Linked DNA regions of Notamacropus eugenii. The protein of the gene in region 3 purifies or fractionates together with the protein of the main gene of each other region. This does not show direct contact. Links are inferred from orthologs where the notes say so. Each region holds a gene or a part of one and is shown on either strand. Other genes may lie near its edges. The genes, in order: CTDP1, RPRD1B, POLR2C and GPN1.

The links.
Region 1: the proteins of POLR2C (region 3) and CTDP1 purify together in Homo sapiens (affinity purification with mass spectrometry; 3 studies listed by BioGRID and IntAct, with this or other methods). This does not show direct contact. The link is inferred for Notamacropus eugenii from reciprocal best matches to the Homo sapiens genes POLR2C and CTDP1.
Region 2: the proteins of POLR2C (region 3) and RPRD1B purify together in Homo sapiens (affinity purification with mass spectrometry; 3 studies listed by BioGRID and IntAct, counting the BioPlex papers as one, with this or other methods). This does not show direct contact. The link is inferred for Notamacropus eugenii from reciprocal best matches to the Homo sapiens genes POLR2C and RPRD1B.
Region 4: the proteins of POLR2C (region 3) and GPN1 purify together in Homo sapiens (affinity purification with mass spectrometry; 3 studies listed by BioGRID and IntAct, with this or other methods). This does not show direct contact. The link is inferred for Notamacropus eugenii from reciprocal best matches to the Homo sapiens genes POLR2C and GPN1.

The regions. Positions count from the first base shown.
Region 1 is NC_092875.1:201,295,049-201,302,157, reverse strand, and holds the start of CTDP1 (RNA polymerase II subunit A C-terminal domain phosphatase), read left to right. Parts: upstream 1-4,107; 5' UTR 4,108-4,238; coding exon 4,239-4,723; intron 4,724-7,109. UniProt on the Homo sapiens protein: Processively dephosphorylates 'Ser-2' and 'Ser-5' of the heptad repeats YSPTSPS in the C-terminal domain of the largest RNA polymerase II subunit. This promotes the activity of RNA polymerase II.
Region 2 is NC_092872.1:428,751,375-428,758,945, forward strand, and holds the start of RPRD1B (regulation of nuclear pre-mRNA domain-containing protein 1B), read left to right. Parts: upstream 1-4,552; 5' UTR 4,553-4,988; coding exon 4,989-5,139; intron 5,140-5,291; exon of another isoform or gene 5,292-5,333; intron 5,334-7,571. UniProt on the Homo sapiens protein: Interacts with phosphorylated C-terminal heptapeptide repeat domain (CTD) of the largest RNA polymerase II subunit POLR2A, and participates in dephosphorylation of the CTD by RPAP2. Transcriptional regulator which enhances expression of CCND1.
Region 3 is NC_092872.1:475,144,127-475,151,918, forward strand, and holds the start of POLR2C (DNA-directed RNA polymerase II subunit RPB3), read left to right. Parts: upstream 1-4,789; 5' UTR 4,790-4,888; coding exon 4,889-4,974; intron 4,975-5,123; coding exon 5,124-5,173; intron 5,174-7,182; coding exon 7,183-7,251; intron 7,252-7,380; coding exon 7,381-7,433; intron 7,434-7,792. UniProt on the Homo sapiens protein: Core component of RNA polymerase II (Pol II), a DNA-dependent RNA polymerase which synthesizes mRNA precursors and many functional non-coding RNAs using the four ribonucleoside triphosphates as substrates.
Region 4 is NC_092872.1:528,877,963-528,885,110, reverse strand, and holds the start of GPN1 (GPN-loop GTPase 1), read right to left. Parts: upstream 3,018-7,148; 5' UTR 2,717-3,017; coding exon 2,597-2,716; intron 2,492-2,596; coding exon 2,398-2,491; intron 1-2,397. Other genes in the region: CCDC121 (coiled-coil domain-containing protein 121), read left to right, coding at 4,009-4,103, 4,883-5,841. UniProt on the Homo sapiens protein: Small GTPase required for proper nuclear import of RNA polymerase II (RNAPII). May act at an RNAP assembly step prior to nuclear import.

The DNA.
Region 1 (7,109 bases), on a different chromosome or scaffold from region 3:
AAGGCCAGTCTACATTTTCTCCATCACTCTCTCCCCTCTAGACAATCAACAAAACAATATATCAAGTGCTGGTTTTTAAGGTTTACTGGTATCTAACAGGGTAAATGCTAACACTGAAAATTTAACAATTAGTTCTTCCAGCACATCCCATCCAGCCATCCACCAATATTTCTGGGTCTACCCAGCATGTTAATTTGTATTTACTTACATAAGTGGATGTTTTCCTCCAGTAGAAAGTGAGTTACTTGAGGGACTATTTCATTTTTCTCTCTATTTCTCCAGAACCCAGGACAGAGCCTGGCATATAGTAGGTGTTTAAAAAATGTCTTAATTGAATGTTCTGATTCACCCACTAGTTTATAGTGAATACATTACCTTCCTTGGCCCCTGTTTCTTCATGCCAGAAGAACCCAAATCTTACCTCTGTCCTTTGCTAACCATATCACCTCGGACAAGTCACAAATTTCCTGATGCTCAGTTTCCTCATTTATAAAATGGTGGACATTTGCCTGCATTTTAACCTTATTGCTTAGCCTTTTCTATTTTTGTCTTCCTGTTCAAGGATACACTTATAAGTAATTTAAGATTTGATGAAACTTGGCAGGCTCCAAGAAGGCATTAAGATATCATCAAGATTCAATTTATGGCTTATTTTCTATAAATTTGAGCAGATTTTAATTTGGGGTAGAGTCTAGGTTATAAAGATAATTAAGTGCCCTTTTCGAGTCTGACACTTCACAAAGCTACCAGTAATACTGGCTTTCCCTACTTTATTGAGGATGTGAAAACAATGGGCCTGATTTCCCCACCAGTTCCTAAATAATGGTTCACAGTCATAAAGGTTGAATCAACAAGCTTTTATGGTAGTGAGGACAGCAAGAATGTTTCTTCACTACGCACAGACACTTGGAGCAAGGTGTTGATTCCCAAGAACAAAGTACCAAAGGCCTCTTGGCTTTTAGGGCCTTATAGCTGACAATCACTAACTTTCCGGAAGATTTTTGGAGAAGAGGCTGTTTCATTGTTTCCCAAACCAAGGTATGCTGCTCTCTTGTAGAATGCTAAAATATCAATATTCTTTACTTGTGACTTAGTGTGGATGGTTCTCACTGACTGGAAGTGGGGAGGAAAAGGGGTTCTTAGCCTCTTTTTGTGTCATAGACCCTTTAGCAATCTTCTGAAACCTTTGGACTCTTCAGAATATTTTAAAATAAAATATATGGCATTATAAAGGAAGCCAATTACATTGAAATTTAGTTATTAATATACCTATACATGTGTGTTTATATACATACAAAAGCATATATGTAACCTACATAATGCACACATGTGTGTATCCATGTATATGTGTGTGTATGTATATGTGTGTGTGTAGACATACACATATGAAGTTCATTAACTGCAGTTTAAGAACTGCAGGGGGAGGATAAAACCAGAGCTGGTGGAAACAGTAAGTAAAAGAAATAGGTTTTTAAAGTTTATCAATTTCACGGAGCAAAAACCTTTGGTTGTAAAAATTTTGTTTACCAGGTAAAAATATTTCATGAGTCTGTCTGGTCCACAGTTGAGAAACAGTGTCTAATTCTGAGGTATCCTTAATACTTGCTTGAAGACACCCCATGCTCTCCATCTCCGTTCCACCTCACACCCCTTAACTTTTTGTTTCGGATTTGTCTCCCACGCCTTGACTTCAAGCTCCTTAGGGGCCAGGACCAGCAGTTGTTTCGGCTGGGTCAGGTGCGGCAGGGGGGACATTTTTAGAGCAAGAGGTGGGACTGGAACATCAAGGCCAGAAGAACCCTAGAAGGTTCCACAGCCCCAGGCAGCCCAGGGGTGGCTGTTGTGGCTGGCAGTTGGCAGTCTAGGGTGTCTCCTGCATTCTGCGATGAGAAGAGCCCCTTGCAAGAGGGCCCTCTGGAGGTACTGAAAACTCACTTTTGTTTGGGTGTCCCAAGAATGGGGAGTCGCTAAACTGGCATGCCTAAATGCCAGGCGGTAGGGGCTTTCTTTTCTAGCTTCTCCGCTAAAGGGAGAGGTGTGAGGGCAGGGGCAGCAAAGGGAGAACATTTTAAAACTGTGCCTTACATCTGTGGTGTCAGAATCCAATAAAACGGGTCCCCGCGGGGCCGCATGTTGATTGACAAAACCACAAACTGACCTTACTTATGCTGTATTTTGATTCGTTTGGTTAAACATTGACTTGTTACGTTTTAAGCTGGTTCGCGCCAACACTCGAGAGCTTTGCTGGGCACACGTGGCCGGCGAGTTTGACACCTCTGCCTTTCGTGATGCAGAGAGCAGACGCGTAGGGAAGGGCAGGGAAGGAGCCTTTGGCTGGCGACAATGTTTCAGGGGCCATGTGCCAGCAACACTGTAACAGGGGAAAGCTTGTTCTGCAGCACTTTTCTTTAAAGCAATACCCCCTCCCTCTAGATGTCCTGGCTTCTTCCCTCCCCCAGGCCAAGGGATAAAGGAATTCTCACTAAGGTGCTACCTCTTACACCTAGCTGTTAGCCATTTGAACTAGACTGAGTGCAGAAAGTGCTTTCTAACTCGTGTTCTCATTTTAACTCAAAGAGAGAAATCACTAACAGTGATCTAACCGACACTACAGCGACTTAGTAAAGGATCTGGAGGGCCTGAGAATGCCTAAAACAGAAGGTTTGCCAAAAAACTCCACCCAGGCATTTTGCTCCGACCGGACGCGGCCAGGATGGACTTTAAGTTTTCAGGCTGATTGAGCATACAGAAGGCAGACTGTTTCCTTTGCGTTTTCGCCCTTAGCCCCCAGCACAGCGCCCTGGTTCCTAGCAGTTTTAATTCATTTCCCCCAACTGAAATTGGACATTTGGTTGTCTTTAGGCCCTCCCCCGTGCTTCTGAACTCAGTAGGAGGCTGCTTCCCATTATTTTGTGATAAGGGTGGATCCACGAACAGAAGGAGTCGCCAATGGTCTAAAACAGAAGGGGTAAGAGTGTAAATAATTCCTGAAACTATGGTACAACCTTTTTGGCCGAGGAAGGAGAGGTTTAAGTGTCTAGGCAATAGCCCCATTAGAATCAGGGTTGAGTGAAGTTCCCTAGCAAGGTCCTAAGTTGGGGACAAGTAAAATGGCACATACAACATGATATTCCTCCCAACGCAAACCTGAAGTTTTAAAGTCCATTTCTGGTTTAACTCCCAGGCAGCTTTCGATAAGAGATCAAGAATAACAAGGGACCGTATATGCTTTTACAATGTCTTTCCGTGGGAGGGCTTTCCACAAATTTTCCAGTGTATTTGAATACGCAAGCGCAAAGGACTCTCCTTGCTCCGCTTTTGTAGGGAGGTCCCGTTCCCCCACGAGACTACAAGGCCCAGCATGCAACTGCGAGAAGGAGACTCAACAAGGATCTGTAGTCCGCCAGCCCGGCTTCCACAGACACCACTGGGGGACAGTTGCATGCTGGGATTCGTAGTCCTCATGCGCTCAGACATGAAGCGGATAACCACGAGGGTTTTGGTACAACCGCTTCCGCTGTTTTGTGCCCGGTGAGGGTTATTTCTCGGACGTTTCCGGTACCAGTTGCTCACGCGGACTCCCTCTCCCCAGGGTCTCGGGACTCCGTGGCCCTCCCTCCCGTGTGCGTGTGAGCGTACGTGTGTTTACACGCAGGCCGCCCGCCCACAGACAAACACGCGGTCTGAGGGAAGCACGTGAGAAGCCGCCCCTTTGACCACGCCCTCTCCCCTCCATGAGATCATTACGTTCTCCAGGAAGTCGTCATAGACCGGGGGAACTGGCGGCGAGGTGACTAGCCGAGCAGAGGGCGGGAAGAGCTGAAATAACCACCTCCGCCCCTGCCCCACATCCGGGACGCTGGGATTTCCGCGTTACTGTGGCTTTAAATGGAAGCCGGGCCCTGAATACGCAAACGCGTACGACTTTGCCTTTCCTCTCCGTGTTCCATCCTCCCTCCCCCCCAACCCCCTCCTAAAGGAACAGTTACTACTTTTTTCCTCACACCTTTCTAACCTCTCCTTCCACTCCGCCTCCCTCCCCTTGAAGTCGCTGTTTTCCTCTCCCCCTTTGGGGGAGGGCTAGCCTTCCTCCGTTCGCTTCCCGGTCTCGAGCCGGCGGCAAGCGCGTTGCCATAGCGACCCGCCCCGCGCGCCGTGCTGCCCCCGGCCCCCGGGCACTAGAGGCGGCGGCGCTGGAGCAGGGGAGAGGGCCCGGCGGACGCACGGCCCGGAGGGGGATGGAGGCGCGGGCGGACCCCAGCGGCGGCGTCGGAGACTCTGCAGCTGCCCCCACCGCCAAGGGGCCAGCCCCGGCCCGCTCTGCCGAGGGCCCCGCGGCGCTGGCGGCGGCCGTGACGGAGATCCGCTGCCCGGGCCCCAGGCCGCTGAGGCTGCTGGAGTGGAAGGTGGCGGCCGGCACAGCGGTGCAGATCGGCACGGTGCTGGCTGTGTGTCTCCCCATCGTGCCTCCCGCCGGCGGCGAGGCGGGCGGGCTGCCGGCTTGCAGTGCGCGCCGGAGAGCCGGGGAAGGAGAGGGGAAAGGGGGCGGCGGCGGCGAGGGCAGCCCCCACCCGTGCGGGAACCAGCGCGGGGAGCCCTCGCCTTGCCCGGAGGCCGGCGGCTGCGGCCGGACCCAGCGGGCGGCGGAGCGCAGGGTGAAGTCGGAGCGGGCCGGAGTGGTGCTGGAGCTGTGTGCGCAGCGGGGACAGGTGGTCCCCCCGGGGTAAGCGGCCGCGGGGGTTACTCCGCTCCCTCGGTTTCCCCCTCCCCCGACCTTTTCACCCCTCCCTCCCCCCCATAGGGGCCGGCTCAGGGACTCTCCCCTCCCCACCCGTAAGCCTCAGGCATCGCTGGGCACCGGGCCGACCTGCCGAGGAGGAGGAAGAAGACGGAGGGAGCTGGCTTGTGCCCCAGCCCAAGGGTTTTCGTTCTTTTTTCCTGGAGGGCGGAGGCGGAGAAACTATTCAAAACCGAGAACTTCCGTCGCCTCTAAGTAGACTGTCCTGGGACCGTCCTGCTCGCCCCTGTCCTTCTGCTCCTCCTCCTGCCTTCCCCCCCTCCCCCGACCCCAGATACCTGGCGGGGGGAGGGGGCTCGGCGCCTGGAGCATTATAGTATACCCCCTTACCGACCCGAGAGCGTGCGAGGAGGAGGAGGCAGGTGCGAGTTCCCAGCGCTCTCCTGCATCTCAGCTTCTCTCTTCCTCGCTCTTTCCCCGCCCCACCCGCTGCCCTACAGGGGGGCTTAAAGGGGAAAATAATGTGATTAAAATAAGGCTTCTCCTCTCAGGAATAGCTACAGGGTTCTTTTTGGCGGTGAGGTCTCTGAGGCACACCTCTGACAGAGATGCCTTAAGTTATCAATTGACATTTCTTTAGGGAATGAAAAGCTCTTTCACCTTGAAATATGGATTATTTGGTCTACTCCCATCCTACTTTCTGCAACTTTGGACTCCTCTCCTTTAAATCGCTGCTTACTAGCTGGACAAACAAAAGGTTTTTTTTAAACCAAATCTGATTTTATTTTCTTCTTTAACAAGTCTTTTTTTCTTATGTAGCCAGAAAGCTGTGGTTGTTGTTATTTTTGCAGTGCAAAAAATTTGGGGGGAGTTGGAGTCAGTCTCTAAGAAAACCAAACATTTATTCCACTTGCTTTTTTAAAATTTTGTTTGACTTTAAGATTAAAACAGGAAATGATGATGCTGAAGTAAACACGTATATAATGTATACATCTGTTTAAATATATACACATATGTATACATGTCTACATCTGAACTATAGCTGGGTATTGTTTGAATATACTAACTTGTTCAGATTGATCTGGTATTTGGTGTTGTCTGTCTCTTTTTTTTTTCCTGCGCTCTAATCTTGTGAAACTAAGTGATAAAAATATGATATAATTGTGCATCATAGCTAAGAAGAACGTATGAGACTGAGCTCTCTAGAGTACAAAATTACAGCAAGCTTTTGAATCTAGCCAAACTTCTACCCTGTCTCAGTACTTAGTTTGTTTCAAACTCTGTGATCATATACTTGACCAAAATGAGTCATTGGGTCATCATAAGATAATTAAAGGTGAAAAAAATAGTCATTTCACTTAACTGGTAGACTCCACTGCAGAAATGTCTACTTTTTTTTCTAACATATTGTAGATTACTTTCATCAATTTCTTGAACTGTGGTTATTTTTTGCTGTTCAGTGGCTCTAAGGAAAATTGGCCTGTAATTAATTTCATTCCCCGGGTTTAAAGTATATTATGTTATTTATTTTGTGGTGGGAGGAGTGGTCAGTTTTTTATATAGTACACTTATTTGCAATTGGTCAAAATATCATTAATTAACCTTTTTACAAGATCTTAGAGGAAGCATGGTGTGGTGGGTAGAAAGCTATCTTGAGTGTCAATCAGAACTGTGTTCAAATTCCAGCTCTGACATTTGCTGGCTGTGTGGTCATTTTGTTCTCCTCCTTCCGCCCTAGCCAATTAACCTCAATATGCTAGACAGCCCTCTAATTCTACAAATTACAGATCTGTAGCTGATTTGTTTTGGTAGAGAGATTTCTTTCACTTTCAGTTCCCTACACTAAAGAAATTACAACCCAAGATAACTTAGGTTTAGCTTAAAGGTTGCTTACATAGTGTTTGTTGTTATTGTTCCTTATATGTGTGTAATAATAGGGCATCATAGATCTAGACCTGGAAGGGAGCTCAAAGTCTAGTCCCTTCTTTTTACAGATGAGGAAACTTTTGACCCAAGAAAGTTAAGTGACTTGCCCAAGATCATACAACTAAGGACATGTAAGAGAAGAGGTTTCAACATCAGATAACAGTGCTTTTTACATTACACCACGCTGTCTGTGTTGACACTTCTTTTTTCTGCCATTTAACAGGAATGTCAGTTTTTTTGGTATATTTTTATTCTTTCAATTCAAGATATGAATATTAGATAAGACATTTCCAACCTTTGTGGAGTTCAGAATAATGGAGGATAGAATATGCACAAATAAATATAATATACAGTGAGTATTTGCTATTACAAGAATGGCAAATCAATGTGAAGATCCAAAGTTTTTACATTTTAGTTGGGCTAAATAGGCAAAGAGGTGAAAGGG
Region 2 (7,571 bases), about 46 Mb from region 3:
TCTCTCTGTAGTTTCTGACCCTGCTGAATATCCACTCCTTCTGAACACTCTCTTGGCTCCCAGGATGCTGCTTTTTCCACTTTTTCCTCCCATCCTGACTACTTTTCAGTATCCTTCATCCATCTCTCCCCCTAAGCAGGGACACTGCTTCAAGACTCTGTCCTGGGCCCAATTCTATTCTCTCTATAGACTTTCTCCCTTAGTGATCTTATTGGCTACTATGGGTTCAGTTATCTTTCTGTAGATAGCCCCCAAATCTATATAGCCAATCCTAATCTTTCTTCTGAATTTCAATATTCCATAGCTAACTGGATATCTCTAACTTAATGTCCCATTTTAAATGCATCATGTCCAAAACTGAACTCATTATGTTTGCCCACCAAACTTCTCTCTCCTCTAAACTTTCGAATTTCTACTAAGGGCATTTCCATCTAGTTACAAACTTTGGAGTTATCCTCTCTCACCTTCTATATCCATTTAGATTCAAAGTCTTATTGGATATGATCTTCATAATATCTCTTGCCTCCACTCCATTCTCTTTTTTCTCCAATACCTGACCTCTACCCTAGTTTAGGTCTTCATTACATGCGGCCTAGACTATTATGGCAATTGGCATCCCTCCCTCCCCCAGTCTCCTCCCTCTTCAATTCATCTTTTACACAGCTATCACTACAATCTTATGAAGTACAGCTAAATCATATCTAGCTATCCTGCTCTTAGGATAAAGCACAAATTCATTGGCCCTGGACTCCAACGTACTCTTGTAGTCTTATTCATAGTACCCTCCTTCACACCTAGCCAAACGGAATTTGACATTCCCAGTCCTGCCTTAATATGTTGGCATAAAGTATCCACCCTTGAATATGCCATCTTCCCATTTCTGCTTCAGTTTTAAATTTATTTTGGTATCACTACCTACTTGAGGCCTTCTCTGATGCCGGCATACTTGTATTTTTTTCTTGCTCTTTCCTCAAATCACCTTATATTTACACCTGTATACATTATAATTCCATTCCCCAATCCTTGAGGTCAATTGCTCTTTCGTTTGTGTCTTTTTATCCCTTTACCTTGTAGGTAATAGGCACTGAGTGAATGCTTGTTAATTTCAATCAACCAGCATTTATTAAGTGCTCCCTATGTGCTAAGAACTGGGGATACGAAGAAAAGGGGAAAAACTGTTTAAATGGGAGGTAATCCCAAAGGGAAGGTACTAGTAATGTGGAGGGGGGAGAGAAAATGGGAACCTGGGAGGCAGAATAGGCCAAAAGAAGGGAGAGTTAGGTCTTAAAGAAGGATTTGAGCTGAGTCTTGAAGAAATTGAGGTGGTGAGGGGAAAGCATTCTAGGGATGGAGCCAGACAATGAAAAGGCAGAAAGTCTGAAGATGGTGTGTCCTGGGAATGGAACAGCAATAAGACTAGTGTCTAGTATTATAGAGTACTGGAGGAGAGTAAAGAGTAAGAAGACTGGAAAGGCAGGAAGGAGTCAAATTGTGAAGGGCTTTAAAAGTCAAAAAGAGGATGTTATATTTGATCTTGGAAATAAGAGGGAGCCACTAGAATTTAGAGGAAAGAGGTGACACGGTCAGGACTGCCCTTTAGGATGACCATTTTGGTAGATGAGCGGAGGACAGACTGGAGTGGGGAGAGATTTGAGGCAGGAAGACCAACCAGAGGGCTATTGCAACAGGTGATGGCAGCCTTCTCCAGGGTATTAGCCGTGGGAATGGAGGAAAGAGGGCATAAAAGAGAGACGCTGTGAAGGTAGAAATAATAAGACTTGGCAATAGATTGGGTCTGTGGAAGAAAGGTGAAAAAGGACTTGAGGATGACACAGAGGCTGTGAGCCTAGGTCACTGGGAGGAAGGAGGTTAGGGTTTGAGGAGGTAGACATAATGAATCTGGGATGTCTACAGAACATCCAGCTCAAGATATTGAAGAGGGGGTTAGTGATGCAAGATGAGTTCAGAAGACGATCTGCATTTAAGAATCATCTACATAGAGAAAAGCTTATGAGATCACCAAGTGAGATGTACTGGGAGAAGAGGCTCCAGAACAGTATTGGAAAACACTAAGAATTAGATGGTATGACCTCTATGAACAATCAATGATGCAGGTTGAAAAAGAGGTAAGGTAGGTAAGAAGAACAGGAGGGAAAACCTAGAGAGGAGAAAGTATTCAAGAGAAGTGAAGGATCAATAATGTTAAAGTTGCAGAGAGATTAAGAAGGATGGGAACTGAGAAAAGGACACTAGATTTGGCCATGAAGATCATCATTGATCATCTCTGAACAGACTTAAATTAAGCACTGACATATTCATGGCCCAAACTATGTACAAGAAACAAAGCCATGTAAAATGTAATCAGTGATATATGTTTGGTGAACTGAAATGGCTCACGAAAGTCTTTGGCGCCAAAAATAATACTAATTTGGTGAGCATCCCCTAAGTGCACAAATGACAGCTCTTTCATCTATATAACAAAACAGTGTCATATATTTAAAAGGAGAAATAGATTTGAGAAATAGATTAGATAAGTTTGATCTGAAAACTAAATTAAAGTGCTCTGGTGGGGTGATGGAGCTAGAAGACTCATATTGCCCTAAGTCAGAGCCACAGGAAAAAGATTCATGGAAAAGGTAAGATTTGAGATGGACCCCAAAGTTAGAAAAGAGAGAACTCAGATATTCAGCAATCACAAGATTTCTTAATTTTATGAATGAGAAAAAAAGACAACTAAAGAGATTAAATGAAATGGTTAATATAAGTGGCAGAGTAGATAGATGGCACAGTGGATAGAATGGATAGACTCCTCTTCCTAAGTTCAAATCCAGCCTTAGACACTCACTAGTTGTGTGATCATGGGCAAGTCACTGAACCTGGTTTGCCTGTTTCCTCATCTGTAAAATGAGATGGAGAAGGAAATGACAAACCACTCCAGGATCTTTACCAAGAAAACCCCAAGTAAGCTCACTGAACAGTAAAACTCAACTGAAAAAGTACTAAACAAATAAACCAAATATATAAAGTGGCAAAGATTCAAAACCACAATCCTCTGCCTCTTAATCCAGTATTCTTTTGAGAGTGTATAGCACTCTCAACAAAAACAAAACTCTCTAGACCTATAGTGTTGCCGTGGGAGCACTAGCATATGAACAAAGGTACAGAAATGGGAATGACTCTGCTCTAGGTAGGGAGACCAATCTGTCTGATAGAGGAGGGGGAAGGTGCAAGTGGTTAATGCTGAGTGGGGCAGGGTAGGATGCAAACAAGTGTGCTACCTGGAAAAGAAGGCTGTGTTTAGAGTATAACAAACACCTGGGCTCTTTATCTTTTCAGCTGTGTGACTCAGGGTTAAGTTGTTTTCCTTTTCTGAGCCTCAGCTTCCCTATCTGTAAATTGGGGAAAAATAATACCTGCACAACCTTCCTAACTGGGATGTTTGGAGGATCAAACAAACAAAAAAAATAAAGCTGCTGTGAGTAAAGTGTTTTGTAAACTATGAATTGCTATATAATTGTCAGTTATGACGACAGTGAAAGGGATATTACTGGAAGATTTGAGGTGGCAGAGAAGGTATGGGAATGAGGATAATACATTTTAATTATGGCATGTGGTGCCGCTCAGGGCCGCAGCGGTTAGAGTTCTGGGCCTGGAGTAGGAATGACCTGAGTTCAAATCCAGCCTCAGACACTCACTAACTGTGTGACCCTGGGCAGGTCACTTAACCTCAGCCTCTGAAAATGGGGATGATAATAGTAGCACCTACCTCCCAGGGGGCTGGTGAGGACCAAATAAGATACTTGCAAAGCGCTTTGCAAACCTACTTGCAAAACTCTTATGACTAAGATTTACTTTCCTTATAGAAGCGCAGTGCAAGTATTACTGTTTCCCATCTTATATATTTCACTTCTAAGTTGTGGCTCTTCTTAGAAGTAAAATCCTCAAGGGCAGGCAGCTTTCTGTCTTTCGCCTCCTTTGGTATCGGAGCTTAATAAATGTTTACTGCTTCCGAGTCCCATCCTCAGCTACTTAAACAGAGAAGTAGGCCCGGAAGACAAGCGGTCGTTTGTAAAACACTCTAAGGAGAGAAATACCCCAAAGAAAGGTTCCGAACAAAGGATTACTACCTTCCTTCAGGCTAGGCGGAGATTAGGGAACCGCTCACATTCGCACCCCCTTTACCCCAGCTGAGCGAGGCTAAGACGAGCGCCGGCTCCCTACACATGCAAGAGTTGGGGGCTGGGATCCAGGTCTCGGGATTCCCAGAGCATAGGGCCGGGCAGAAGAATAAACATCTCTATCCTAGGCCTCCCCTTCCGGGCCTTCTAGCCTCTTTTTCTCCACTTCATCGGGCCCTCCTTCTCCTTTCGGAGAGAAAACTCCTTCCTCCGCTCCGCACACTTTCCCTTACCTGCTTCTCTTCTAGCCTTTCCCACCACTCGCGCTCCTTCCCGGAAGTGACGTTTACGCCGGCGCGCCGAAGCACGAGAAAGGTCCCGGGACGCCGGGAAAAAAGGACCAAGTTAGACTCAGTGAGTTCGCGCGCCGAGAAAGCGGTACCCGCCCCTTCCGGGAACTCCGCAGGGGGCCCGGCCTAAACTTCCCCCTGCTACCTCCTTCTCTATCTTCTCTTTTGGGCTGCCTTCTGGGAGGGTATATGAGAGTCTACCGAAGGTAAAGCTCAGCGGTCGTCCGCCCGCCCCCGCCCTGCTTCCCTCTTGCTTCCGCGTCGGCCCTTGCCCTTTGCCCTCCCTCGCGGTGGGGTGAGAGGTCAGGTGGCCATCTTGTGGCGGCGGCGGAGGCGGCTGTTACCGAGGAGACTCGGCCGCCCCTCAGGCCTCGGCCCCTCAGGCTCTTGGCCTGGCGTGACAAGTCAGTCTGCTGCTCGGTCTCGGACTAGGTATCGTCCCGGGCCTCGTGTCCATCGGCTGCCGCCTCCCGCTCCACGCCGCCCGGAAGCCCTCCAGTCCTCCTTCCCTCCCGCCACCATGTCCTCTTTCTCCGAGTCCGCGCTCGAAAAGAAACTCTCCGAGCTGAGTAACTCCCAGCAGAGCGTCCAGACGTTGTCTCTGTGGCTGATCCACCACCGCAAACACGCGGGGCCCATCGTCTCAGTGTGGCACCGCGAGCTCCGCAAAGGTGCGTATCCCGCCGGGGCTCCCCGGCCCCCGCCTCCCGGGCTGTGTATCGAGCCCCGCAGCACCCCGTGTGCTTCTGTCCCGCCCCCTGCCACCCCCGCCGCGATCCGAACCCGTGTATTAAGCGCCGATTGTGTCAGGCGCAGTGCTTACCCCCAAACACGTCTGTCCGTGCGGTTCTCCCATCCTCCAATCTCATCTTCCCTGACCCCCGCCTCCCCCATCTCCGTAGGAGCTGGGAGCAGGCATTTCAAACCTCCTATGGCTCAGGCACTGCGTTAAGGGGTAGGGGTAACCTTTCAGCGCACCCCCCTTCTCTCTGTCCAGTTCCCCATTCCGCCATGTGCTTCTGTCCGCCCCTCCCCGACTTGTCAGCCCAACATGTAAGCCACAGGTCTGTGCCTGCCCCTGCCCTAGCGCTCAGGAGTCCCAGAAAGGTAAAAGGGAGCCCTCATGCTGGAGGAGCTCGCAGACCTCTCCTACCTCCGTCCTCAGCCCCCCTCCCCGCTCTGCTTCTGTCTGGACAGATGATGGATCGAACACCTTTTCTGTGCCGAGTACTGTAACCCTAAAGGCCCTTCCTTTTCTGTCTGTCCAGCTCCCCAGTCCTCCATGCATCCCTCTCTGTGTGTTTGTGTCAGGCCCCTAGCTCTCCATGTTCCCCCACTTTACCCTCCCCTCGTCTGAATAGCTCCCGGCTCTCCGTGCATCCCTCCTGACCAGCCCCCAAACCACCAGGTCCCTACCCATCTCTCTCCAGGCCACCGCTACCTCTGTTTTTCCATCCCAACCTTCCAGACTAGCTCCCCACTCTCCGTGCACACTCCTGATGACTATTTAGCATCCAGCCCACCTCCACAACCGCCTCGGTCATTCACCACTCCACACAGCCCTCCCCACCTGAGTCCCCAACACTTCACCCAGGCACTCCTCCCCACGACTGCTTCCATGTCCTTTTTTCTTTCAAGTCCTCCTCTTTCTGCAAGTTTTTCCTTTGGGCAGGTCACCGAGTTACCACTGCAAGGTTGCTGAAGAAGCTCAAATGCCTCCTTTGGGAGGGAGGAATCTCATTCTGATCTATCTGCCCTGTTTTTCTTTCTCTACTCTTTGAATATCCAGGATCTTTTTGCTGGGTTGAGGAAGGAGCCTACGGGCATATGTTCTCCTTGAGGTACTACTGGAAGTAGCTAAAGTTAAGTCTTTGGTGCCTCAGACTTTTTGGTTAGAGTTGAGCTAGTTCACATCAGCAAAAATTTTATAGCTACTGCTATGTATAAGTTACTGTGCCTTCCCCAAAATTTGAACCATCAGTAGGAGTTCTGTGATAGCTTTTGATGCTGCTTCTCCGTGTTCTTCTCCACCTTTTATTAGCTAGAAGTGTATGTTTCAGAGGTCTTCAAATTTGTTTCCTTGTAAAATACCTCTGAAGTACTTAAAATTACCTTGGCCAAAATTAGTGCATTTTCATTGCCAGAAATATTTCTGTTTACCTAGTGCACACTCCTATTTTTCTCTTTCAACCTCATTTTTTTTTTTTTGGCTTATGAAGTCATCTCTATACTGTAGTTTGCCTAAACTGCTTTTGAAGAAACAATTTCTTTAAAAAGGAAATATGGTATTGCCTATAAAGTGGGTAACTTAAAGGTTGTTCTCAGGACCTCAAAAGAAAGTCAGTAAGTTTTTGTCTGTGTCCAACAATCAAATGAACTGATTGGGAGAGTGGGGTTAAAGGGTGGAAGAGAGAGGAAGAGAATGGTCTTAAATGATCAACCTTTGCCTTTTGAAGAGAGCTTTAATTTTTAATGTCACAATGGATAAGAGCTTTGTAGTGTGCTGTCTGTATATCTGGGGCTTTTAAAAAATCGCCTGCTGTTCCAGTAATTCCCAAGGTCTATATTTTCCTCTGACAAGACTTCTCTTTATACAGATGACTCCTTGCTAGGGGCACAGAATGTTTCCTGAGGAAGGGAAGAGAGTTTCATCCTAAACACATCGTAATAGCTTGGCTAGAAGGATTATGAAAGTTATTGTCATTGTTAGCAGTTAAACTCTTTAATTTCTTATCCATAGTCTTCTTACGTAACTCATAATTTCAAGTGCTGGAAAAGTTTCAATTCATGGGTTAGAACTTGAAGGGAACTCAGTGTTCACTTGCTCATAACACCCTGATTTTGCAAAGGAGGTCCAGAGAGGTTGAATGACTTGTCCAAGATTGCAAAGGCAGTACATGACAGAATTGAAATTTGAACCCAGATCTTATTCCAAATGCAACCCGTTCCACTTTGCCATGGTGCTGTTCTGCAGTGTCCAAATTGTTTTCTTGTTATTTGGATTCTGGGTTTTTGAACATAAGGATATGAAATATATAAACCTTTATTTAAGGAGAATTGGCTATCTTGTTATTTTTTAATTCATTATTGATTGATATCAATG
Region 3 (7,792 bases):
CATTCACTCTCCTGGTTCTCCTTTCCCTACTAACTTAATCTTTCTCCTTTTCCATTATCTCTTCTTCCTATCTTCTACATGTCAACATTCACCAAGGTTCTTTTTTGTCTTTGTACTCTGTCAGCAAACTCAGCTATTCCCACAGTTCCAACTATTAGTTGTGAGACTCCCAAATTGTTAACTCCAGATTTGTATTTTTAACTGCCAGCTGGACAACTGTACCTTTGTGCCTTAAGACACTTCAAAATCAAACTGTGACTTTAGACAAGTTACTTCTCTACTCTGGGCCTGTTTTGTCTATAAAATGAGGGGGTTGGAATAGATGATCTCTGAGGTCCCTTTCAACACTAAAAGCTCAATGAATCTGTGTATAAAACCAAATTCTCCCTTTTCTTTCGGCCTCTCAGCGTGGCATGGTGTATTGTGTTGAATTTGGAATCAAAAAGACTTGGGTTCCAGTCCCACGTCTTATGTTACTACCTGTGTATTTATGGGCAAATAACCTCATTTGGCCTCAGTTTTAACATCTGGAAAATGAAGGAGTTCGACTAGATGATGATCCCTAAGGTCCTTTTGAGTGCTAAACTTCGGATGCTCTTCTGGACTCTTTGTTATTGACAGCAGCATCTTCCCCATCCCTAAAGTTTAAAAGCATATTAAGACTTATGTTGTATGTTTCTTTATATATCTCCACAATATGGGCCTAGGCCCACCCCTGAGCCTTACACATACCATAAACAATAAGAAATATTTGTTGGTTAAAAAAAATAAAATTTAGGTTTGTCAAAAAGGAATTTATTATGGGAAAAGAGTTCTGTGTGCCTATGGGACATTTTAGAGCCCCCAATGGCCTTAAGGGACTGGCCAATACTAGAGGATCAAGTAAATGGTTGGTACTGCAGCTTCCAGTGTGGCCCTAGCGTCTTCATAGTTCCTAATTCCAATATTTATTAATCACCTATGTGCAGAGCACTCTGAAAAGGATAACCAGTTTGGTTATAAGGTATGGTCCCTTCCCACATACAGGTCACAGCCCATCAGGACAGTAAGATTCATATACATAATTTTAACACAAAATATTGAAGACTGAGTTCATTAAAAGTGCCAATTAGTGCCCCCAAAAAAGATTGCTAAGACTGGAAGAATCAGGGAAAGCTTCAAAGATGAGGTGGCATTTGAATTGTGCTGTAGCACCAGCTGGTCAAGGATCTCTGCAAGTGAATCCTAGAGAGAACTAGGAGGAAACTGTGAATGAAACTTAAAAGAGACAGATTTTTAGCTGAGTATAAGGACAAATGAGAATGAGAGCTGTTTAGGATTTGAACAGACTGCCATGAAAGATTCTAAGTCCTTCATCACCAATGATTTTACAGAAGAGGCTGGACAACAACTTAAGGGGCATATAGAGGGAATTCTACCAGGTAAGTATTAAATCAAAAAGCATTTATTAAGCACCTATGTCCTCTGCTCCCAGCTACGTATGGAGATGGTCCGTACCTTGGTCTTGCCATCACAAGTGTTCCATATCCATGTTCAAGAACTCCAAATAAAATTCCTTTATCTGATCATAATTTGTTGTCATCCTATCTCTGCCTTGCAACTCCAAACCCAATTTCCTTTGTCTTCACGGTGACCTCCAATTCCTCTATCCTTTAGTTCTTTCCCAACTCATGACCCCCGCACCTGCTATACTCCCTTGCTCTTGACAAACCAGTTCAACCCTATGCTGCCCTCTCAGATCCCTTGCACCTTTATCCTCTCATCCATTTACCCTACCAAGTCTCATCCTTGAATCATTCCCACCATCCACTGCCTGTGCTCCTATTCATAAGCTGCTGAACAAGGCTGGAGAAAATCATGAAAGGATTCTGACTGGGTCCACTACAGGTTAACGTTACATAATTTCAACTGGGCCCTTATAGCAGCAAGGCAATCCTTTAACACCACCCATTCACTATCCCACTCAATACAGTGGCTTTTCCAAACATTTTCACCCTTCCACAAACCTCACCTCCTAGCTTCCTTGGCTTCCTTGAAGCCTCACCAAAATCTCACCTTTTTTTTTTTTTTAAATAAGTCAAAAGTTTAATTCTGTTGCACAAAGTCAGTTGATTCTGGATTTACATATATAATAAGAAAACTTTAGATCACAATGGTTTGGGGCTCAATAAATGACTAGAAATAAAAAGTCATATTTCAGAGTAGTAAAATTTATAATTACTACAAATGTCTTGCAGCGCACTTATAATACAAAAGCAAGATCAAGTCATTTCTGTATTGTTTTGATAAAGAGTATGGGACAGAGGGTGTTTTGTTTCTAATGGGAGGGGAAATCTTTCCTTCTAAAGGATAATATCAACACAAAAGCTGCAAGAAAAAAGAAAAAAACATGGGAAAGAAACAAATGATATAAAAAGGCAAGATTTTAAAATCCTAATGTGGGATTATTAACCATAATAAAATGAAAAGATACATTAAAACCAGCAGTACATAATAGAACCCACAAGGCAGGCAAAAAAAATAAAAGATTCTAAGTTAAAGAGAAAAGGTTTGTTTTTAAAGAATGATGTCCTCCCAAACACCACAACACAGCAGTGCAAATGGTAACTGTGTGGTCCCCTTTCTGTTAATAAATTGAGCATTAAATCTCACCTTTTGCTCTTGCAAACTGAGTCTCAGAGAAGGGAAGTGTCCAAAGTCACACAGCTAGTAAGTAGCAGGCAGAATTTAAACCCCAATGGTCTTGCCATGTATAACTGGTCACCTCATCACTAATCAAAGCTTCTAGTTATCCCTATGACAGATCACTCCCAGTTCTAAATATCCAGCCTTAGTCTCTCTCTTGCCCTTATCAGTCCTTCTTAATGCCTTCTCTCTGAGAACACTCCCAATAAATCCTGCATCATCCCATACAATCCTGGCTTTTCCAAGCATTTTTATCCTTCCCTCGTCCTCTCATTTGAGAATTTTGCTTCACATGTCACTGAAAAAATTGAGACCATTCACAACGAACAATCCTTTCTTGTCTTCCTTATTTCACATCATTCAAATACCTTCTGCCACTATCTTCTCCTTCACCTGTTTCACATAAAGTGGTCCTTCTTGCCAAAGCAAACCCCAATACATATACAAGTGATTGCATTCTATCTTATGCTATCCTTCACACACATACCCCCTCCCCCCAATTACACTGTGAACTCTGAGAGCAGGGATTGTTTTCTGCCCTTCTTTGTTTTACTACATTTAGTATAATGCCTGGCACCTAAAAAGTACTTAAATGCTATTTGACTGATTTGTGCCAGGCTCAGTGCTCAGCAATAGAGATGTAAAGGTGAAATGAAAGGAGCTTATAATCTATTAGGGGAGACATGTATATGAGGGAGCTTCACGATGCCGTGGAAAGTGTTGGATTTGCAGGTTAAAAGATGGGTTCAAATCCTGACTGCCGCTTAGAACCTGTGTGATCTTCAGGGTTAGTACCCTTTGAGGGAAGCAAGAGATCTAAGAGGTAGAGGTGGTGAGTTCCAGGCCTAGAGGACATCTTGTAAAAAGGCAAAAGGAAAGAAGTGGGAATGTTAAATATGAAGTCCAAGGGCAGCCTAACTGGATCATTGAATGCAAGCATGAAGAAGAGTAATATATAATAAGCCTATAAAGGTAGGTTAAAGCCTGGTTGTAAAAGGCTTTAGACAATAACAGCTGGAACCTAAGCAAGTAGGATTCCTGATCCCACCTGCCCCCAAGATCTCAAAGTATAGAAGTGCTCTGAGTTTGTATTTTGATCCTAGATGTAATAGGGGTCACTGAAGTTTATTAAGCAGGAAAGGGATTTTGTCATATTTATGGTTTAGGATTGTTATTGTCGTTCATCATTCTCCAAGAGGATGATGTCTTGACTTGATTCAAGTGAGGCAGAGCTGTGCAAAGTCATCAGCCCCACTCTCTCCTCCAGTCATTGGGAGTGCGGGGACAAGGCATAGGTCAGGACTCCAGGGGATGGCCCCAGAAGCAGTGGGTTTTCCCAGGTTTGTCTGAGGCAACACCCATTCAGCGATCGAAGGTGAGGTAGTAGTAGTGGTGGTGATGGTGGTGGTAGTGGTACTAGGGAAGTTTGGAAGAGAGTGGATTTTGGGAGGGAAAAAGGATTAAAAGTTCTATTTTGGACCTGTTGAGTTTGAGAAGCCTACATTATATATATAAAATACATATTACAGACACATACACACATATACATATGTGTGTATGTATAGACATATACATATAAATGTGCACGTATGTATCTGTGTATGCACATGTGTGTATACGTGTATAATCGATATAGGATATCGATTTTGAAATGTCTGACTTCATGCTGATTAACTGATTGAACTCAGGGACTTCAGCGGTCCCTTCCAGTCTTCCCACGCCACGGGCCAGCTGCTCAGCAGGGGGGCTCCGGCTGGATGTCTGGGCCCGGGAGCGGTAACTGGGATGTGTGAGAAGTGATGAGGTCACCAGCCATCTGAAAGCGAAGCAGCGCGGCGTCAAGGCCATTCGCGTCCCAGTTCTGACTGCTCCTTACCAGCTGTGTGACCTTGCGCACTTCCCCTCTCTGTGACTCAGTTTCCCTGTCTATGAAAGGAGGCAGTCGGACTGCGCGCGTAAAATCCCTTGCTCGATCGAAGACCTCCGTGGCGGGGTTGAGTTCTCCTCCCACTTCCATCCCGTCTGCGCCTTCTGTAGTTCCTCCTCCTAGGCCGAGGGGGCACTGTGGGCTCCAGGGGGAGCGAGGGAAGGGAGGGGCGGCGCCTCTCTCCGGCGTCCGGTGACGTCACGGCGGCGCGCGGGTGGTCGGGTGCACGCAGAGCCGAGGGCCGAGCGTGGAGGCCGCGGGCCGTTCTCGGTCGCGATGCCTTACGCCAACCAGCCCACGGTGCGGATCACCGAGCTCACGGACGAGAACGTCAAGTTCATCATCGAGAACACGGACCTGGCGTAAGGAGCTCGCCGCCCGGGGCGCCCGGAGAGTCCCGGGAGAGCGCTCTGGGGAAGGGGCCGGGGCGGGGACGCCCCGGGGGGGCGGGGACCGGGGAGGAGCGGGCTGGGGCCCCCTCTGATTCGCCTCTGGTCCCTCCTCCCCGCAGGGTGGCCAATTCCATCCGCAGGGTCTTCATCGCCGAGGTGCCCATCATAGGTAAGCCTGGCTGCCGTGCCCCCTGGCAGCCCTGGGTGGGCGCCGCCTTCGCCCTTCTCCCGCTTTGCAGCTGGCTAAACGGAGGCGCAGGGAGGGGACTTGGAGGCGGTGTGGAAGCCGGGGCGCGGGCGGCTCCTCTTATTCACAGACTGACCTGTCCCTGGCCCTCCTCCTCCCAGCTGCCCCCTGCTCCCACCGGGGTCCCGTTTCGATGCTACCTGCGCCGTGATATCGGGTTCTTCTGCCCTCCTCAGAGTCCTTACAGCCTTTTCCTCACACTCTTGAGTAAAACAGCAGCCCCCCCTTGGTTGTCTCCACCCCCTTTTCGGTCTCAGGCTCCTGGAGGGCGGGGTCTGTTGGAGGATTCATCTCACAGCGTGACGCCGGCTGCTTATGGTGGGTGAAGTCAGATAGCGTACGTGCGGTGGGTGCCCGGTAACCCTAAAGTCGCCGTCCAGCTGTCAGTTAACTGTTATTAGGAGCTTTTGAAGTTACCAGGGCAAGCCTTGGAAGAGGGAGATGAGGATACTATACAAATAACCAGTCCAGATTGCAATACAGTTGGGAGCTGTCAAAACAGCAAGGGGGAGAGATTTCGGTGGGAGGCGTTCTGTAGTGACTGGAGGTATCAAAAAAAGCTTTATCAAGCTCAGAGTCTCTCAGACTGTTTTTATTCCTTTGTCTACGCTATGCCTAATCAGACGCATTGAAACAATTCATTGAACGTTGGGCTCTGACTAGGCACTGTGGTATACCTTCTCATCCCCCCGAAAGTGTAAAACACAGCCAGTATCTCAAGTACAAACTAGTTGGAGAAAGACTAGGGGGGGGGTGTGTGTGTGTGTGTGTGTGTGTGTGTGTGTGTGTGTGTGTGTGTGTGTGTGTGTGTGTGTGTGTGTGTGTGTGTGTGTAGCAACCGTATAGAGATGTTTTATTTCACTATTTGTTAAAAGGGTTTATTTGGGGTTTTTTCCACTTTGGAAGAAGAAGGTGAAAGAAGGAGAAAGAGGGATGGCAGTACAGTTACCAAAAAGAAAGAAAAAGGTTGTCTTTGAAACACTGTTTTGAAATACACAGAAAAGAACAAAAGGAAACCCAAGCAAGGAGAATAACCAGGAAAAAAGGAGAAAAGCAGGCTGTACATATTAGAAATTCACATGTCCTCTTTTTCTGTCCTACTTTGAATTAGAAACATTAATTTACATAGTATTAAGTGGAGAATGAAAAAAAATGAAATGGCGTTCAACCAGATGATTTTTCAGGTTCCTTCCCAGCTTTAGTGATCTGTGACTCTGCAATGGGATGATCTACAGTTTTCACCTCTCTTCCGTGCCAACCAAATCTTGTTCTTTCAAGGTCTAAATCAGCCTGAATCTCTCCATTAAGTATTCCCTAGTCACTGTAGTCCACAATGATAGCCTCTTCCTTAAACTTTTAACAGTTAATATACATATTTATTTAACAGTTAAGCTCATAGTGTTTAGCACAATGTCTGGCATATAATAGGCACTTAATACATGTTTCTTGACAGACTGACTTAAAAAGTGCCAAAATGTATAATGCAAGCATTAAATGAAATATGGTTTGGATAAAAGAGGTCATTATAGGTCTTAGTTTTCAGGAGGTCGTAATTGAGCTGGGTCTTATAATATGAACAAAATAAAATGAAGACATATAAGCATGGATTATGAAGGTCATAACGAGGAGACCACTCTAGATAGAGTAAAGGGAGTACATAGGAGAGGTTTCAATAAGGCTGGATGGTGCTCTGTGCATAGTATAGGGACAGTTTCTAGAGAGCTTTGAAACAAAGGCAGCCTCCAGTTCATTTCAGTGCTGCCCGACTTGCAAATGACAATATGGCCCATATTGGGATATAATGAGGAGCCTTTGGTCTTCCTCTCTGAAGGGCCAGCACAAAAGCCTGCTTGATTCCCTGCCTCTTCTATGTGAGCTCTGTGACTCAATGGCATTCCTGCCTCTTTTTTTTTTCTTTTTTGGCCTTTAAGCCATAGACTGGGTCCAAATCGATGCTAACTCTTCGGTGCTACATGATGAGTTCATTGCCCACAGACTAGGTAAGTGTTAAGTTCAGGAGGAATAGGGGAGAAGGGCTGCCATTTTGTGTCTTAGAAAGCTATCAGAAGAAACCACCTGACTTCTGAAAGGTTTTTGACCTACTTGAAACACTGCTTTGTGTTTTCTAGGATTAATCCCTCTTACAAGTGATGACATTGTAGACAAGCTGCAAAACTCCAGGGTAAGATTATATTCAGTTTGATTACTGGAGAGTATTTTCCTTGATAACATCCTTTCAAGCTGTTAGATTGTATTCATTTGTCCAGTTTTATATCATAGTAATTCTCAAATTTTTTCATTCCACTCTCCCCATTTCCCCTCAACCATCTCATGTTCTTTAATTCCAAATTGCTGTGAAAAAGTGAACAGTCATAACATCTTGCTCTGTTTATCCTTTAGGAAGCAATAAGTTTGTCTTTGTGGAGTTGGTTAGATATATGGGAAGACATCTGTATCTAATAATAAAGGAATAGGCAGGGGACTAAGTGAAGGATGAAGATGTAGGGGAAAACATTATTGACAATTTATGCTAATATAAAT
Region 4 (7,148 bases), about 54 Mb from region 3:
TAACTTAAATTGAATTACGTTAAGTCGAAAATTTATTTTTTTGAAACTTCCACTCATTGCTCTGTGGTGGAAAGGCAGCATGACATAATGGAAAAAACCTTCCACTTGAAGTCAAAAAGACCTGGGTTTGAACCAGGTTCTGATACTTCCTAGCTGTAACTCTGGGAAGGAATTTCTTTAAGCTTTATCTGTAAAATACACACAATACTTTTAATATGAACACAGTACAAGGGGCTCAAAGGATCGTACAGTTAGAACTGGAAGGGGCTTTAAGGACCATCAAGTTCAATCCTCTCATTTTACAGATGAAGGAACTGGGTCACAGGGAAGTTATTAAGTGATCTGCCCTGGGTCAGACAACTATAAAGTTATCTGAGACAGGATCTGAATCCAGGATTTCATGATTCCAAGTCATTGCTTTATCCACTATACCCTGTTGTCTCTGTAAGGAAAGTTGTATGTAAACTTTAACACACCAAATAAATCTGAGTTGTTATGTTACTGACTTCTAAGGTCTGATATTTCTTCCACATAACATCGTTTTCCCCTTACATACTCTTCTCCAAGCTAAACCTCTCTACTTTCTTTAAATGACCCACATTTAGTAAAGTCTCCAAAGTCCCCAACTCAGCCAGTTTGCCCTTCTCCAGATACACTCCACTCTATCAATGATCTTCTCAAAAGGTGTTAACTCTGAGCAGCTTACAATACAGTATGAGCCATTTTAAGCAGAATTAATAGAATTTATTAATGAACCTTTCACTAAGCATTTATTATAGAAGTACTTGAAAAAATAACTTTAAGGCATGATCCAGCTTAAAAAGTTTTTCTGAATTAAAATGCATATAAATTTGTACAATTAAGTATATTTTCAAGTAATTATGATCCCATTTTCACTTGGGCCTTATTTCGTGAGGAGTACTCTTTTAAGAAACAGTAGATTCATTTTAGTAGTCTGCCTCTGAAAATAGCTTAAAAGACACTAAGACTCAATAGATGTCAAGGAATAAACTGGAAGGGGCTATGGAATGGAATGGAGAACACAGAACAAGACAATAGAACCTAAATTCCTTAAGGACAGAGAATATTCTGGTTCTGTATCCCAAGGGCGCAGGAATAAGAATAGAAAAAGGGATTGGAACTGTGATGTCATTGGTATAGAGAATTCTCAGATGAGGAAATGAGTTGTATAAATGAAGGGTGGCACCTTGGCAACTAATTAGAGTTGCCAGGAGCACTGAATTTAGATCTTCCTAGTCAAGGGAGGTCTCCATCTACTTACTCCACTTTGCTTCTCCCCTAGCAAATCATTTACTTAACAAATAAATTTTGGACACAGAGAATGAAATAACTTTTCAGTCCAAGTCTTCAACACTGTTGCAAACTAAAATTAGTATCTTGGCTTAATGATTGCCTTCCAATTTATAGCCATCTCATGACCAAAGACAACATAATTCAAGGTTACCCAAAAAGGTGAGAAATAGAATAAAACTATGGCTTGGGAATTAGGAAGCCCTAAAATACAAGAAGCCTAAGTGACACTAGGAGTCAATAACTTAGGGTCACAGATTTAAAGGAGAATTTCTTTTCCAATTTTTTCATTGTCTAGAAAAAGATGAAGTTCTTTAAATGGGAACAAGTGAACTGCGCAAAAATGGAAGGAGGTCCTATGGACAGGGGCAGATTCAGGATCACAGGCAGCCTTCATGATTGAACTCCTCAGGGATGTTAGAGTTGGCACTTAGGCTTTCCACGTAGACTGAATGTCACTTAGTTGTCAGATGTTGATCCATTGGTAGATTGTAAGACTGGATCAATCAATATGCATTAAGCATTTCCACTCATAAAATAAAGCAGTAATTGCCCTCAAGGTGCTATAAAGTACCCCAGGTTTCTTGGGACTCTAAGAACAGTCTGAGCCTCTTAGAACATCTCAGTGTCTACTGTTGAGTTAAATGTCTTCCTCAGTTCCAAATTTATCCCATACATAGCTTATTTATACATAGCTTTTTTTCAAGTCTGCCCTCTTAGACAGTGGGCTCCTCTTGAGTAGGAGCATTGATCGTTTTTTAAATGTCTTTTACCTTTTTTTCTTGTATCCCCAGCACTTGGCACGGTGCCTGTCACATAGACGGCACTTAAATGCTTACTGACTGACTGTTGCAAAGCGGACCTTTTGTCCCTTCAGTTTCCCAAATCTTAGTAAATGACGTCATAACATCCCCAGCTGAGCGAACAGGGCAGCCGGACAAGAGGAAGAGGGGGAGGCCGGGAGGGACCGCGCCAGGTTGGGACGCTGGGGCGGTGTAAGAGTGGTCGAAGAGCCCACAGGCCCGGCTCGACCCGCAACTTCTTAGGGCTCCTCCACACGTCGGGCCCACGCTCGCGCCGACTCACCGATGTTGGCTGGGAAGGGGACCTCGTGCACCGCAGGGTCCAGGTTGATCACGTAGGGCGGCGAGCCCAGGCCGTGAAGGTATCCCGTGAGCCTCTGCGGGAGACAAGGCGAAGGTGAAGGTGCTCCCGCCATCCCACCACCGCTACCCCGGGCAGCCGCGGCCAGGGCCCCTCCAGCAAGAGCCTCTCCCCACCTCACCTGTACGAATGTCGTCTTCCCAGACCCCGCCATCCCCAGCACCAGGAGACACACTGGAGGCCGAGGCCGGGGCTGGGGGCCCTCTGCCTCCGGAGCCGCCGCTCCCGCAGAAGAATCCATCTTGCCAGTGTGTACGGCAGCGCCTGCGCAGAGCGATGCTGGAAATGAGACTGAGTAGCAGTCCGACGGCAAGCGGGCAAAACGGAGCGGAATCAGAGTTTAGGTCGGATCTGGAGACAGGGCCAGGGACCCAGGAGGAGGAGGCAGGGTCAAGGGCGGAACCTGCCGTGGAAATTGAGAGTAGGGCGGAATCGAAGGCGGGGCCAAGGGCGGAACCTGCCGCGGAAATTGAGAGTAGGGCGGAATCGAAGGCGGGGCCAAGGGCGGGGCCAAAGGCAAGGCCTGCACTGAGATTTGAGAGTAGGGCTGAATCGAAGGCGGGGCCAAGGGCGGAACCTGCCGTGGAAATTGAGAATAGGGCGGAATCGAAGGCGGGGACAAGGGCGGGGCCAAAGGCAGGGCTTGCACTGAGATTTGAGAGTAGGGCGGAATCGAAGGCGGGTCCAAGGGCGGGGCCAAAGGCAGGGCCTGCACTGGGATTTGAGAGTAGGGCGGAATCGAAGGCGGGGCCAAGGGCGGGGCCAAAGGCAGGGCCTGCACTGGGATTTGAGAGTAGAGTAGAATCAGAGGCGGGGGCAGAAGAGGGGGCGGAGCCTGCACAGGGACCTGAGACTGGGGTGGAATATGAAGAAGAATCCAATCACCTGGGTTCCGTCGCTGGTCCCAGGACTGGTTTTGAAGACGTTCTGAGGCTCGAATGGATCAAGGATATTCCAGAGCGGGTGCAAAAAGAAAGCACAGGTGAAGAAGTGGTGAGGAGAGCGGGCGACAAAAATGGCGAAAAGTTGGGTTCGACTCAACTGGGGAAGGACTGGGAAGTGGACGAGAATTCTAAGTCCTCCAGAGAAGAAAGTGTTCGGGAAGAGAGCGACGACACCCTGAGCTCCGAGGCTCAGCCTGCCACAGGCAGGAAAGAAGTGGGCAAAGGCGACTACTGTGTCCTCTGTACGGTGCCCAAGACCCCAGACCAGGACAAGAGCTCTCGGTCCTCTGGCCCTGGGAAAACTCAGAAGTGGTCACCGGACGTCAATCTTCCTGTAGGGTTGTACGTCGACACTTGTTGGGTTCCCAGAAGCTTCCACAGGGAGGAACTCATGAGACTCAATCTTTCGCGTGGAGTTCCTTCCCTGGCCTCCACCCCCGCTACCCTTGTGCACCGTGTCCAGCAGTTTTGGGATCAGCAACATTTGAGTACTCGTAACAGGTGAGCTCAAAAAGGGTCGGAGGGAGCAAAGGAGGAAAACCTCTCCAAAGCAGAGACCCATGGGGGGAAAGGGTTAGCTTAGCAAGAGATGGCAAAGGATAAACAGCTAAAAAAAAAAAAAAAAAGATTCTCCCAACTTTTCTCCCAGTTCTTGTACTGCACTGGACAGAGCATCTACCTCAGGTAAGGAGTTGGAAGGAACCTCAGAGACTTTCTTGAGCAACCCACATGTGAGACAAAAACCCCCTCCACAACATGCCCCGAAATAGCCTTTGCTAGAGGACTTCCAGAGAAAGGGAATCTTCCAGTCAATCAACAAACATTTAGTAAGCACCTACCAGGCACTGTACTAGGATCTGGGGACAGAAATGCAAATAAGGTTTTAAAAACTCCTTTTGACTTTATATTTCCTTGTCAGCCTCAGAACATCCAGAGTTTTGCCATTACTGAATCTATTGTTACAAAACAGTGGCATGCTTTTGTACACCTCTTCTGTAATCTGCCCTACCTCCTTGGATTTTGTCTATACCCAGAGGTCAAAAGCTGTGATAGATCCTACCAAGCTGGAAAGAGTAGATTAGTTGGGAAATATTGTCACCCTAGGACCAGCCTAGCTAAGATCAAAAAAGCTTCATTACTTAGAGTTTGGCTACTGAATAATAAATTTTTTGACCACAGAAATTCATAAAGTGATTTATAAAGGCACATTAGGAGTTGCAGTCTGTCAATAAGAGGAGAACATACAATGAAATCATATGTCTTTTGAACATAACAGCTCACACTGTCCTTTGAATTTTTGAGAGTTGCTTAGGAGAGGTGAAAGAGTTGGTGGCTTGAGCCAATGAAGGATGACACACTGAGTGTCATGAAAGATAAGTGACATCAAGGTAATAATAATAGCTCACAAATAATCATAAAGGTATAATGGAGAAATAACATATTTCTGGCTGCTTTTCCCCCAGATTTTTTCGGGGTCCCAGAATGATATGGCAGAATCTGAATCTGAATCGTAATATTGCTTTGCTAATGGGTAGCAAAAAGCTACAGCAGTTTTTAAAGTCACAGGAGGAGTTGGAGAAAAGGGTGCAGAAAGAGCTGGCAATAAAGGCACAGGTAGAGGAGAAAATGATCCAGCTGAATGGGGAACTGATGCAAACACGAGCCCGGAGGAGGCAGCTCATAGATGATCATTGCCACATGCAAGCTGAAATCCAACCATTCTTAGGTGACAGCCCTGTCCTAATGGGATATGTACCTGATCCAACCAAGAAAAAACAGGTAGCACCAATTAAGGTATGGGATCAACAGACACAACAGTTGGAGCAGATACAATGTCAAAGGCAGGAGCTGGTCTCCAGTTATGAGTCCCATATATCATCACTCCGGGAAGAGCTGCTGCGACAAGAAGAGACCCAAGCCCAACTGAAAAAGAAGATTCAAGCATTAAATGCTAGGAGGACAATAAAGATTACCCAGGAGGAGCTTATCAAATCACTGCAAATGGAAAAACCAAGAGTCCAGAAGGAGGCCAAAGCACACCTTCATAGTGTACAAGGTGATCTGGTTAAAGAGTGGAGAGCACTGAAGCATCAGCTATCTGATGTAGAGCTTTTGCTGGGGAAAAGTATGATGGGAAAGCACAACCATATCCTGGAACATGCAGCAGACAAATCTATCCTTGATTTCACCTGGCAACTGCAAAATGAGAATGAACAATTGCATAAGGAAATGGTACGGCTTATTCAAGAAGCCCAGCAGCTAGAGGCCCAGCGGACCAGGCTTCGAAAGCAGAAGCAGCAACTACAGCTAGAGCAGTGTTGCCTGGAGAGCATCAAAGAAGGGAGACGGCGTCAACTACTAAGAGCTGTTCCCTGTCAGAAAGGACAAAGCAGTTCAAAGACCACGCTGGCCCCTCTCCCAGGTACCAAACCAAGGATGAATTCATCCTAATTAGTGAGAATATTTATTATACATCCACCTAAGCAGATTTTGTTAGTTGCTGTACAAAGTAACTTAAGTGATCTCTGCCTCTAGGATCTTGTAATTTTAAATGGAAAAAAAATGAAATGAATATGAAATAGAAGGCTATCAGTCAGACTGTAGAAAGAGGGATGAAACACAACAGTAGAAAAGTTCATATTTAAAAACCTATTTCTGGTAAAAAAAAATCTATGGAAAATGACTTAAGATAATAGCTTATTGAAAGTATTAAAAGGAGAGTTAAGTTCACTTAGCACTTCTTCTGTAGTGCTGTTTAACATTTAATTCCTGGAATTATCTATACCTCCCTCACTCACTTCATCCTCCGATGATAAAACAGAATCCATCTCAGTATCTTCCAGCATCTCAACATTTAACTGACTGGCTTCCCTGGCTGCTTACCAGATATTCTCTATAGTGGACCGGAAAAGGAGCAAGTCAAGCTATGAATGTTTGCTTTCTTTGGGACTCAATGTTAACTTTCTTCAAAGGATAAACTCTTTTTGATGGCAACCATTTACATTGACTCTACAGTGGTAACACAGACATTCCAAAATCTCAGATTAGCAAATACAGGTAGGTCCCTTTTTGTTGCCTTGGTCTTTGCACCCATTTGTTTGAACCATTGCAACATAAACAGGGAGGTACAGGCCCCAGTCCAACTGCTATTGACAAATCTGAGACTTAAGGGTAGGGGAAAGAGATGTTAAAGTTGTGTGCCAAAGACCTAGTAATTGCCTTTTTGCTTTTGGTTTGTCTTGGTGTTCCAATGAAGCATGAAGTACTCTTGTAAATATGTCAAGGGGGCCCTGTAGTAGTGAAGGACAAGAAAGTGAGCTAATAGAATTCCCTATTTCCTGGTAGCATTGTTTTGATTTGATACTAAGTAGCTTATGTTTACTTCTGAATTTTACTGAGAATGGTAGAAGGCAAAAAGATATGTTAAGGATTAGGTTTTTTTAACAGCTTTGCAGTGGAAGAAATAATCATCATTGTAACACCCTAGTCAATGGAATGATTCAGGATACCTATTCTACAGGCACATTTGAAAGAAAAAGAAGCTTATTTCAGTTCAGATTTCTCTGGAACAACTTTTGAAAGAGAAAATCACCATCCAAATCATCCTTAACTCTTCACCCTTATGAATTCCAAGGTTATTATAAGATAAATTCTAGCCCAATATATTGGTATAGAATTATATTTTCACATGTCATATATACATTTATGTGTACTGAGGTCCTCATCTAG